3 linked regions of the Callithrix jacchus genome follow. The protein of the gene in region 3 interacts with the protein of the main gene of each other region in a pairwise test. Links are inferred from orthologs where the notes say so. Each region holds a gene or a part of one and is shown on either strand. Other genes may lie near its edges.

Region 1 (3,628 bases), on a different chromosome or scaffold from region 3:
GCCAAACCTTGTAGGCTTAGTCTCACTGCCTCTGTTAGGTTGGACAAGCACAAGTCCCATGGCAGTGACAGGTAAGGATGTTAAAGAAGACATCTAGGCATGCACAGAATCTGCCCAGACCAGTGACAGACCACAGGTTTAGAAGGGACCTTGACAGTCATTGAGCCCTACTCTGCTGCCCAAAGCTTCAGTCCTCTTAACAATGTCTCCATTCATGCTTTTGTTGAATGGCCAGTTATAGGAGAGGAAGCTCCACTGTCACTGCAATGTGCTTGCAGCCTGTGTGGGTCCTCTCATCCACTGGCACCTGCTGGGTATCCCCATGAGTAAGGTCCTGTACACCGGATCTTTTTAAATCTCTTCTCTGTCAAAACCTACCTGACCTATGTCTCCTCAGGGCACCATTTCCTGCACTAGCTCATCTCTGAAAGTGGCTCCAACGAGCCATGCCTTTCGACATGGCCTTGTGTAGTTTCCTCCCACACTGAACCAGGGCCGGCCTGTAGCGTGCTCTAACCAACAAGATGGGGCGGAAGTGATGCTCTGCCAATTTGGGCACAAAGCCTTGGGAAGGCCTGGCAACTTCCACTTTAGTGCTTCTTGGAGCCCGGAGCTGCCACATGAGAGGTCTGGCTACCCTAGAGACACCATATGGAGAGAGTCTCTATGACTCCATGGAGTGAGAAAACAGTCCAGTTGTCCCAGCATCCCAACTAAGCCCATTCTAGCCACCTGCCATAAAGTCCCAGTCGTGTGTGAGCCATCTGATCACCCCAGGCTATTCTGACCCCCAGGTGACTGTAGCCCAGCTGACATCACGTGGAGCACAAGAGCCACCCATTAAACCCACAGGACCCTGGAGATAATCATCAAAGCCCTGTGTTTCAGGTAGTTTGTTACACAGCAGTAGATAACTGCAGGCATTCCTATGAGCACTTTGGCACAGACTAGTTTGTCATTGGTTTGGGTGGTATCATTTGGCAGAGACGCTTGACTCTTGGGTGATGAAATGTCCTAGAAACAGTATCCTAACCCAAAGGAGTCCCCTAGTAGTGGGACACCAGCATCATGCGGGACCAGCAGGAGATATTTCTGAGTACTGGGTCCTCTCAATGCCCCAATCTCATCTCACAGGTTACACGCTTAAACAGAGGGCCAGCTTAGCTAATTTTTTTAAGGACATCCATTTTTCCTGCATCACAAGGGCCATGAGCTGTCTCCCTTATAGACAAAGTGGAGGCAGATTCCCACCCAGTGGGGGCAAGAAGGAAGTAAACACACAATCAAGGATACCGTTTTTGAGACTCAGGTTCTCACGAATCTCCTCATGGTCACAGGGATGAGTGAAGTCGAAGATGCTATGTCCTGTTAGCTCCACCTGTTTCAAAAACAAGGTTAGGCTGCATTATTCCTAACAGTGAAGTAAAAGACTCCAAGAGAAGGCTGAGCCACCTTCCAAATATGGAGGCAGGGAGGAGACTGAATCAGGTTTTCTCATAATCTCAGTCCAGTGTTAGGTCCACAGACAGAAAGATGTAATAGGGACCTACTGATGATGACAGGTCTATTAATTAGTCAGTAGAGAGCTGTCCACCAGGCTGGACATTAGCAAAGCCAAACCCAGGGCTTGCGGATGGCAGTGTGGCCTGAGGTCAGCGAGGGTGGCAGTGGCCTTTGCAGGGAGAGGTCAAGTGGGATTGTGGCTAGCACCTTACACTCATTTCTGTCCCCGAATGGAAACATTTCTCCTTTTGAAAGAGACAGAGGAGGGTGTCACCTGTGTGAGTCCCATGAACTTGCTGATGTTTTCTGACAGAAAGATCATGTCACCATCTTGGGTCACCACAGCAATGAAACCCTCCAAAGCTTTCAGGTACAAGTTGTCCATCTGCTGGTCAGCTTCGGCTTCAGACTCGTTTTCAGAGCAAACTGGAAAGACAGTGGGTGGGACAGCTTGCATGAATGTGGAGTGAAAACAAGTGTGACTGGCACAGGTAGGCATTTGCCAGGGATGGCGCAAAGGCATCAGGTGGACTTTTCTGGAAACACACACTGCCGACCACCTGAAAGTCTGCCCCAGCCTGGCAGTAGGCACTGGATGAGCACCGCTGCACAGAGGACACCCTGATTGGGGCTGTGATGACAGCGTGCTTGTCATGACAACAGTATTTGTGGCACTAGTAACGGCAGCAGTAGTAGCTGTGGATATAATGGTGGTCGTAGTAGTAGAACAAAAATTTTAGCAGCTAATATATATTGCAGTTACTACATGAAAGGCACTGCACTAAGAATCCTATGTGATCTTCACAATGACCTACGAGGGAGACACTATTTAATCTCATTTTACAGATGAAGTATAGAGAGGTTAAGCCATTTGTCCAAAGGTATAAAGATTGTAAAGCTAGCAAGCTTCGACAGCAGAATCCAGAAGCTATTCATAGGCTTTGGAGTTAAACACAGGTTCTGTTCCTAGATCGGCCTCCTATTAGGCTGTGACTCTGGATAAGTAACAACCTCTTTGAATATCACTTTCCTCATTAGCTAAATGGAAATAACAATTTTCATCTCTGAATTGTAAGAATTAGATAAGTACGTAAAGTGCCTAAAACAGCGAATTCAATAACAGTGAATTCTTTCTTCTTTCTGCTCCAAGACACACACTATCCTCAAATTGCTCAGATCCCAGGTGAGGAATATGTAGCACTCAGAGATGCAAAGCTAAGTAAAAGTTCAAGGGTGTGATAGCTGGGCTCCCAAGGAAAAGTATAGATGGGAAGAGCGCTAAGGGTCAGAGGAGGAGGAGATTGCTTTGGGGCGATCACAGACAGCTAACTATTCCAAAGAAGTTTTAAAGAGATTTAGAAACAGAGATTTCACTCTGTAGAATGAAAGAAGGGCCTTCTGAACCAGATGGGATTGGGTGACCAGGGACTGAGGTGAGGCCCATTTGGCTGAAGAGGAGAATCCATTTCCCAGTCTTAAGGATTTGGTGTGGTGAGGCTGGCCCAGTGTCCCAGAGGGGCCTCACATTTCAAGCAAATGTGAGCAGAGGAGTGCATCTCAAAGCATTGCTTTGGGGAGATGAGTCTGGCAATGGCATACAAAATGGTTTGGAGAGAGTGAAACCCAGACGTGCCGAAGAGAGTGAGCAGGCAGCTGCATCCCCGGCAGGCTATACCAGTAGTTGCTGGGAGCAGCCTGGGAAAGCTTCCACCCCTAATCGTCCACACTTTGAGTATCCTGGCCTATCAAGTATACCTCTGCTCTCTGAAAAATAAAGACCCAGCTCTTATCCAGACCAAAAAAAAAAAAAAAACTTCTTGGGCCCCAGGCCTTTGGTTGTTGTACACAGACCACAGGCTTTATTTCAGCCTTCTTCTCCTAGTTCATTATTTAACTCTAAAGACATTTACTTATGAAAATTTGTATTCATTTAGTGCAAATGTCAATCCAAGTATGCCTCACTTGATTTATCAAACAAGGGGATTAGAGAGTAATTTGTCACTTGCAAACATTAATATTCACTTAACAGGAGCCTTTCAAATGGAGACTATTCTAAGGAACTTAAAATGCAACAGTTTATGGGCCACTTTGCAAGGGACATATTGATGCTGTGAAATGTTGTTCA
Region 2 (3,628 bases), on a different chromosome or scaffold from region 3:
ACATAATCATACTGAGTAGGTAACCAGTGAATATTTATTGAACAGAATTGATAAAATGTATCTCTTGCATCTCACTTTTAATTAAGAAAAGTTAATTTTCCCAAAAATCCAAAATATGAATGGGATGCTTGCTTTGTATTCAAATATAACAATTACCTGGAGCCCCTGACCATGGACCATCTGAAGTTGTTCTTGAATTTTCCTTAGTTCTTCTTGTTGCCGATGAATATTTGCTTCTATCATGCGTGTCCGTTGTTCCAGCTGGTCTTTCAGATGCTGCATGGCTCCTAATTGAGCTGAAAACTGAAACTGAAGTACCACATATGGAAAAATAACAACATATTTTAGAATTACTTACTCCTTATAATTGTGCAACGAGAAAAGTAAGCAGTGTAACATGAGTTAAGAATGTTATGCCAGTTAAGCCTCTTAGTTCCTAATCCACCCACCTTTGCTCTGCTTTGTGATATTGGACCTGGACCTTAAAAATATTTCTCCTTTGCCAACAGGCACAAAGTTATCCATGTCAGTAGATGGTGCTGGACGGATACTGCAAACAAAGGTGCTGGACTCCTGGTTCTGGTGCTTTTTCTTCTTGCTCTCGTGTTGGGGTACCAGTGGGAAGCTTCCCAGTTAGGCTTGTTAGCTCCCTAGCTGGCGGCTTTCCAGCAAGTCTCAATGACATCCTAGTGGGCAGCTTCCCTGCAAGCTTTACCAGTACCCCAGCCTGGTTTCCAGCTCTCTAGCTCTAATCTGTGGCATGTCAGTGAACTTCTCCATTATCCACTTGTTATAGCCACATCTTCCCCAAGAAGATCTGCATCTCAGCTTGGCATGGGGGAAGAGGAGGTGAAGAGGTTAGGAGCTTATGGGGAGTCTTCTAAGAATGTTCCTTCCTTGGGTACTCTCCATCTGTCTTAGTTAAGTGGCTGCTCTCTGCATCTGATAATTACATATTCTTTTTTTTGAGACACCATCTTGCTCTGTCACCCAGGCTGGAGAGCAGTTGTGCAAATCATGGCTCACTGCAAGCCTTGACCTTCTGGGTTCAAGAGATACTCCCATTTCAGCCTCCTCAGTGGCTGGGACTATAAGCATGCATCACCACACCTAACAAATTTAAATATATATATTTTTTGTAGAAATATGGATTTGCTATGTTGCCCATGCTGGTCTTGAACTCACTGGATCAAGCAGTCCTCCTACCTTGGCCTTTCAAAGTTCTGAGAATATAGGCATGAGCCACCATACCCAGCCTTATTCCTGTATTCTTTAAGTTTTCTTTACTTCTTTTAGGAGTTAATCCCTGTTGCCAGTTAATAATTTTTTTATATTATTCCTATTCAAATTTCTGGTATGCTTCTGGTTTCTCACTGGATCTGGACTGATACACACACACCCTGGATTTACGAGACCTGAGCTCATATTGTGGTTACCAATTACTGGAAAAAATTATTTAACCTTTTTTTTTTTTTTTTTTTTTTTTTTTGTTGGAGACAGCGTCACCCAGGCTGGAATGCAGTGATATGATCATGGCTCACTGCAGCCTCAACCACCCAGGCTCAAGCATTCCTCCCACTTCAGCCTCCCAAGTGGCTGGGACTACAGGCATGTCCCACCATGCCCAGCTATTTTTTTTTTTTTTTTTAAGAGATGGGGTCTCATGATGTTGCCCAGTCTGGTGTTGAACTCCTGGGCTCAGACAGTCCTCCTACAAGCCACCATGCCCAGCCTTATTTAACTTCTTAGCTTCATTTTTACCCCTCAACAAAGGAAAAAGGAGTCTGCACCTGGAGTTAATTCCTATCAATTTCTGTCATCCCTAGAATGTCCTCTATATGTACATGAGTAGAAGTACCCAAAGTTATAAAAATCTGACAGATAACCAATAATAATATTTTCACTTCAATGGAAGCTATCCTCAGACACATATAGAACATGACCTTTTTTTTTTTCTTTGGACTTCCACCTGGCAACTTTCATTTAACAGAACATGAACTTTCAAAGACTACACAAGTACGAATGAGTAAATAAATGCATACAGGAATGAAAACAAAATTATGTTTTCAATCTTACTTATTTCTCTGTTTTACTTGAGTCATGAGCAGCTCCTATTTTCTTCTGCTTATAATTTAGCCACATTTGGTGATTCATCTCTTAAGTCTATACAGGCTCTTTAATTAGTCCCACGAATTTTCAGTGTATGATATAGTATAAGAGCAGAATTTCACTTTACTGGAAATCTGTCTTAAAGTAGCCTCTTACAGCGAACTGTATGTAAAAGTGAGAAATGTCCTTCCCATCCAAAGCTTTTTAACTCTCTCTTCAATAGTTTGTATTTGGGATACTGCATTACATTTCAAAGCAGACAACTCTTGACTTCAGAAATTAACAATAATCAGACCATAACATATATTAAATTATACTAGGTTTGAGAAAATATTAAAAATTTAGTACCTCAACTCCCTCAAGGCTTTATTTTTTTGTACTAGTCAAAATGTTATATTTATGGCGGGCATGGCTGTTCACAGCTGTAATCCCAGGACTTTGGGAGCCTGAGGCGGGTAGAATGGTTGAGTCCAGGAGTTTGACACCAGCCTGATCAACATGGCAAAACGCTGTCTCCACTAAAAATATAAAAATTAGCCAGGTTTGGTGGCGTGCACCTGTAGTCCTAGCTACTTGGGAGGCTGAGGCAGGAGGATCACCTGAGCCCAGCAAGCAGAGGTTGCAGTGAGCTGATATTGCACCACTGCACTCCAGCCTGGGTGACAGGGTGAGACCTTGTCTCAAAAAATAAAAATAAAGTTACGTTTATGTAATACAAATGTATTTTTTTATAACTAAAGTTATTTGTTCCTTTGGGTAAGCATTATATTGCTATCACTTAAAGGATTTCTATCAAATACAAAAAGAAAATAGTAAACACAGAAGGCAGGACAACAGGAAGTAAAATCACAGAACTAAGAGGCAAAACATTTGGCTTTATTAGTGAATAAAATGTGAGATATGAATACTTGCTAACATTTTTGACAGTATATATTTTTTATTTCATGAAAATATCCCTATAACATGTTAAGAAATGCTTTAGAATCTTGAGATTAAAGAACTAGTAACATAGAAAGTATGTATCTCTTATCATAGTTATATATGTAGAGCTATTTTTAAAAAATACTGTTTTTAACCTATTATTAATGATCATTCCTTAAGATCAAGATACTGCTAAGTTAGGGTATATTTAATGCCAAACAAGGCAAAGAAGTTGAAGAAAAATACTACTTCTCTGTGGTATTTTTTTTTTTGAGACGGAGTTTCACTCTTGTTACTCAGGCTGGAGTGCAATGGCGTGATTTCGGCTCACTGTAACCTCCGCCTCCTGGGTTCAAGCAATTCTCCTGCCTCAGCCTCCCGAGTAGCTGGGACTACAGGCATGCGCCACCATGCCCAGCTAATTTTTCTATTTTTAGTAGAGACGGTCTGTGGTATTTTTAATGTGTTTGAGGCACTGAATGAGTACAGAGTCATATATTACAAGTTGGGAAGTTAGGCTACAAGTAAGAGTGTCACTTTTGGAATTACTCCCCCTTTTTTGGCTACTTTCCACATTTAGGCCTCCTTCTGGACTTAG
Region 3 (4,391 bases):
AGTTCCAAGTCAAAGGTAGGGGTGAGATGTTTCAAGAATGGTTTTGATTAGGGATGTGTCTTGGTGTGTGTTACTGAGGACAGCACAGTGTTCAGCAGCTGTCCCTTACCTCTAGCTGCATACAGTCCTAGTCCCCTGCTTAAGTCTGCAACAGTTTTCTCCTGTCATGCCTACTCGTCTTGGGAACATACTTCCAAACCCCTTGCCCAGACTCTAACAATGGCCCTAAGTACTGCCCTGAGGACACATAAGCTGCTGGTTAAGACGTTGGAATTGAGTCCTTGTAGGAAAATTATTATATGTAGGCTGGTTGCAAAGCTTGATTTTGTGTCTTCTCTATTGTGCCTTTCCTTTACTACTTCTACTAGGTTACCAAGCCTACTTGGGTCTAGGGACTGCAAGTTTCTTTAAACTGGCCACACCATAGACAATACCCTAAATCGAGCCATGGTGACCCTCATGATCCACACATACAGCTCTGGATGGCCTCCTGGAATCAGAAAATGTTTAGTAACTGGAAGACCATGAAAAGGGGAAGAATGATCCACCCCTGCAGCGCCTAATTAACTTGAGACATTCTTCTATTGTTCCTTATTCCTGCCTCAATTGATAAGGCAATTGGACTTTGTAGCCAAGCTTAGTCAACCTCGTGACTCCAGACCCAACGACCCCCTCCCAGCTTGCAAAAACCTCCCTAAACTGTAACTTCTGTAACTTTCCACTGCCTACCCTAAACCTATAAAAACAACTCTGATCCCACCACCCTGCACTGACTCTCTTTTCGACTCAGCCCACCTGCAGCCAGGTGAGTAGACAGCCATGTTTAGGGGGTCTCTTCATTCAGAGAGCGCTTAACAGGGAGCAGTGGGAGGGCAGCGAACCAGTGTATTCTAGACATTAGCCATAAGGATGTAGGGCTGTGAAGTGATCCCCAAAAGATTTTGTTTCTGGATTTACCCAACCATTCCAGGCGGCAAAACGGCTTCCTTGGGGACCCTCTCTCCATCCTCTACACCCTCGTCTCTGCAGCTAAGCCCTTCCTTAAGCAGAAAAGAGCAGGGTCTCTCGTCCAGCAACCCCTCCCCAACCCCGGCCCCGTGCCCTCCGCTAGCCCGCCGTGCAAGGATCTTCATTCACCCTTTACCTCTGCCCCGAAGGTCTACAACTGCAGTCTTCGGAACGCCGGGGCAAAGCCTACCAAGAGCATGGAAGCCTGTTTTCAATGGGCGGGTTGCTAGAAAGACTCAACTGGCCTTTTAGCGCCTTGCGGCTCGTGGGAGGGCTCGGCGGGGCGGTGTCCGCGGCGACTCCGCCCTTCGCCCGGGTCCCGTTCCCGCCGGGGAGCCCCGGGGCGCCCAGAACGGCGGGCGGCTGGCCCCAGTCCGCATGCTCAGTAACCGCGGCCGGCCGGGCTGCGGGGAGGCGTCGGCTGCGCGCCCAGGGGCTGCGGTGGCGGCCGCCGCGGCACCGGGCAGGGCCCGCCAGTCCCCGCTTCCCCGCTCTGGAGCCTCCGCCTGGGCCGGGGCAGGGCGGGCCCGGGGCTCCTCCATGTTGCCAGCCGCGGGGCTGCGGAGCCTGCGATGGCGGCGGAAGAGGAGGCTGCGGCGGGAGGTGAGGTTGCGGGCTGCGAGACGGCCGCCCCGGGTGGGCGCGCGGCGCCTGACGCTCTGGGAGCGCCGCTGGGACGCCAGGTCTGCCCGCTCTGCGCAGAGGGAAGCGCCCGCCCCTGTCCCCTCCGGCCCGGCGTCGCCTCCGAGGGGCGCTGGAACAAGGCCGCCCCGGGGGGCACAGGTGCGGCGCGGCCCCCAGCGCGTCCTCCGAGGGCGCGGGATGTGGGGAGGGGACCCGGGGTCGCCGCGGGCGCTCAGGACGCGGTGTCTGTCTGGGTCCCGAGCCAGCTGCATTGGCTAAAGGGAGCCGGCCACGGACCCTGCACCCTGGGATGGGATCAGCCGCCTCCGCCCACCGCTGGGCGCCCGCCTCGGCGTCGGCCAGGCTTGCACTGCCGCGGGGACTTTCTACGTCTCTTCTTTCTTTCGTGTAAAACAATTGTCAGCAGCCGTGGACGGAACCCGGGTCATGCGAACCACTCCCCTGTGAGCTGAAAACACTCGCGGCTTCCCTGCTTGAACCGCTGCCCCGCGGAGGAGCGCGCAGGCGGGCAGGTGCGCGTGGACTGGGGGCTACACTCCGGGACCGCGACAGCCCTCCGTCAGCGACACCTTCTACCACTGCAGCTTCAGGAAAGTCGTCAGTGGAGTTAGCTTGTTCGATGATATATTTCTGAGGTATTTTTGTGAACAGAGTAGGGAGTTTGCTGTGCTTTCTCCATCTCGCTAGTATTCACCGGCCGTATTCTGTGGTTTCTTACAACGGGGCCTTTGGGACCACTGCTCACAATTATGGAATGATTATAAAATAGCTGTTAAGACCAGTGGGAGGCAGGAAAACAGAAATAACAAAGGAAGATTGGCAGAGAAGTTCAGGGAAGCGGTTAATTTTCCCCTTTCCTTTTGGAATAAGGTGGTAGAGTTTTAGATACTTCTCGGAAATAAGGCCATGAGAGGAGGTGGCTTTCGAAATTCTAATATAATTGTGGGAATTTAGATCGTGGGAAGATTTGAGAAATACCGTCATTTGAATATGAGTAGTTTTAGGTAAACCCTTTGTTGAGAATAGAAGATGGCATGTCTGGTGTTAAGCTCTGACCCCCTTTTTGCTCTGTCTTGTGATTGAGTTCTGCCCTTTACTGTCTGTGTCACCCAGGTTATTTGAATTCCCTTAGTCTAAGTTCTCCCATCTGTAAAATAGAGATAACTATGCAGTCCACCTTATAGGATTGCTAGGATTAAATGAGATATGAATACAAATAAAATGCTTAGCCGGATGCTGAGGAAATAGTATTTCATAAAACATTAGCTTAATGTAGTTATTAATTTACAACTCCAATTTGCTTTGTGAAATTGGTGAGTCCTGTCTGGTCCATTAAGAAAGGGAAGGAGAGAGGAAGGGGAAGGGGAAAAGGATGGGGGAAAGAAAGAAGGAAGAAAATGCACCTACTAATTCAAAGAACAACTTTCCCCAGAGAATTCTTACGGACCTAGAACATACAAGCTTTTAGATAAAGTTTATTGTTATTTATCTAACTATTTTAGATTGCTCTTTGCATATCAAATGTAAAGTTGGGAATAATAACACTTGAATTTTCTTAGTTAAGGGTAGCAATGTTTCTGTGGAGGCTGGGAGAGCCTGAAGGTTTGATGAGTACCTAAGATGTCCCAGACATTTCACAAGGGGTGCTTCCTTTAGTCTTACAGAAGCTTTGTGATGTAGGTGGTATCTCCATTTCACAGATGAGAAAACTGAGGCTGGCTCACATTTATACAGCCAGGATGTGACACAACTAGTTAAAATCCATGGGGGTCAATGATACTGCTTTGGTTTCTTTCTCATCTGAGTTGGTGGTGCTAATGAGCAAGTGTGCTCACTTCCAGACACCTGTTTATCTAAAAGAAAATAAAATTCTCAATGGAAGGCTCTAGGAAAAATACAATGTATGTATATTTTTACTCTTTCTCCCTATCCCCAGAGGGAAAACATAAACAGGCCTCCCGGCCAGTTGGTGGCCCTCTACAAAACTGGGTCTAAGGTTTTTGTTTTAACAGTGCAAGCCAAACTGTGGGCTTCCCCATCCCATCTGTTTTAGACGGTAAACACCGAAATTGAGCATGCTGCCAAGTGACTGGGTCTCCTGATAAATGATTCCAGAATCCTTGGAGTTAGGAAGAGGGTGGTCTTGGGGAGCATCACATTTCCAAGACTGCTGGCCAGAGATGATCTGGGGTCAAGGCATTGGCAGGGCAGCTTTCTCCTCTTCCCTTTTCTTACCATTTCATGTTTTCGCCTATGATATTATAAGATCCAACTCTTTTATGTGTAGTTCTGCAATTATAGTGGTTTAAATTCATTTTGTGAGTCAGAAATCAAAAGTCATGTCCCAATCAATCTTTCATAAGCTGCTGTTCCTGGCATGGATCCTTGGGCAAAATTTTAGCCAGGAATGCTTGACTCAAGATAAACTAGGATGGGCTAATTAATATTTAAGGGGGAGGAAAAGAGAGAAGGGAAGCGAGAAAGATTGAGAGAGGAGGGAGAAGAAGGAAGGTGGGCAAGTGTGAAGTAAAGAGAGGAGAGGGAAAAGGAAGAAGGAGAGAGTGAAGGAAGGAGATGGAGGGGAGGGGAGGGGAGGGGAGGGACTGACACTCCATCAAAGTTTGACTCCAGGAAAAACAAAAACTAATGTTTAAAATGTATAGGGAAAGCCAAAATGTCAGTAGGATAAGAGTGATTTCAGTGTACTTTATCGTTGTGAAATGACTCCCTGGTTCTAA

The links.
Region 1: the proteins of BMAL2 (region 3) and EPAS1 interact in binary tests that used the Homo sapiens proteins (3 or more experiments, as listed by UniProt). The link is inferred for Callithrix jacchus from reciprocal best matches to the Homo sapiens genes BMAL2 and EPAS1.
Region 2: the proteins of BMAL2 (region 3) and CLOCK interact in binary tests that used the Homo sapiens proteins (3 or more experiments, as listed by UniProt). The link is inferred for Callithrix jacchus from reciprocal best matches to the Homo sapiens genes BMAL2 and CLOCK.

The regions. Positions count from the first base shown.
Region 1 is NC_133515.1:68,421,208-68,424,835, forward strand, and holds part of EPAS1 (endothelial PAS domain-containing protein 1), read right to left. Parts: intron 1,930-3,628; coding exon 1,778-1,929; intron 1,379-1,777; coding exon 1,294-1,378; intron 1-1,293.
Region 2 is NC_133504.1:141,310,425-141,314,052, reverse strand, and holds part of CLOCK (circadian locomoter output cycles protein kaput), read right to left. Parts: intron 310-3,628; coding exon 157-309; intron 1-156. UniProt on the Homo sapiens protein: Transcriptional activator which forms a core component of the circadian clock.
Region 3 is NC_133510.1:43,898,906-43,903,296, reverse strand, and holds the start of BMAL2 (basic helix-loop-helix ARNT-like protein 2), read left to right. Parts: upstream 1-1,565; 5' UTR 1,566-1,580; coding exon 1,581-1,791; intron 1,792-1,967; exon of another isoform or gene 1,968-2,288; intron 2,289-4,391. UniProt on the Homo sapiens protein: Transcriptional activator which forms a core component of the circadian clock.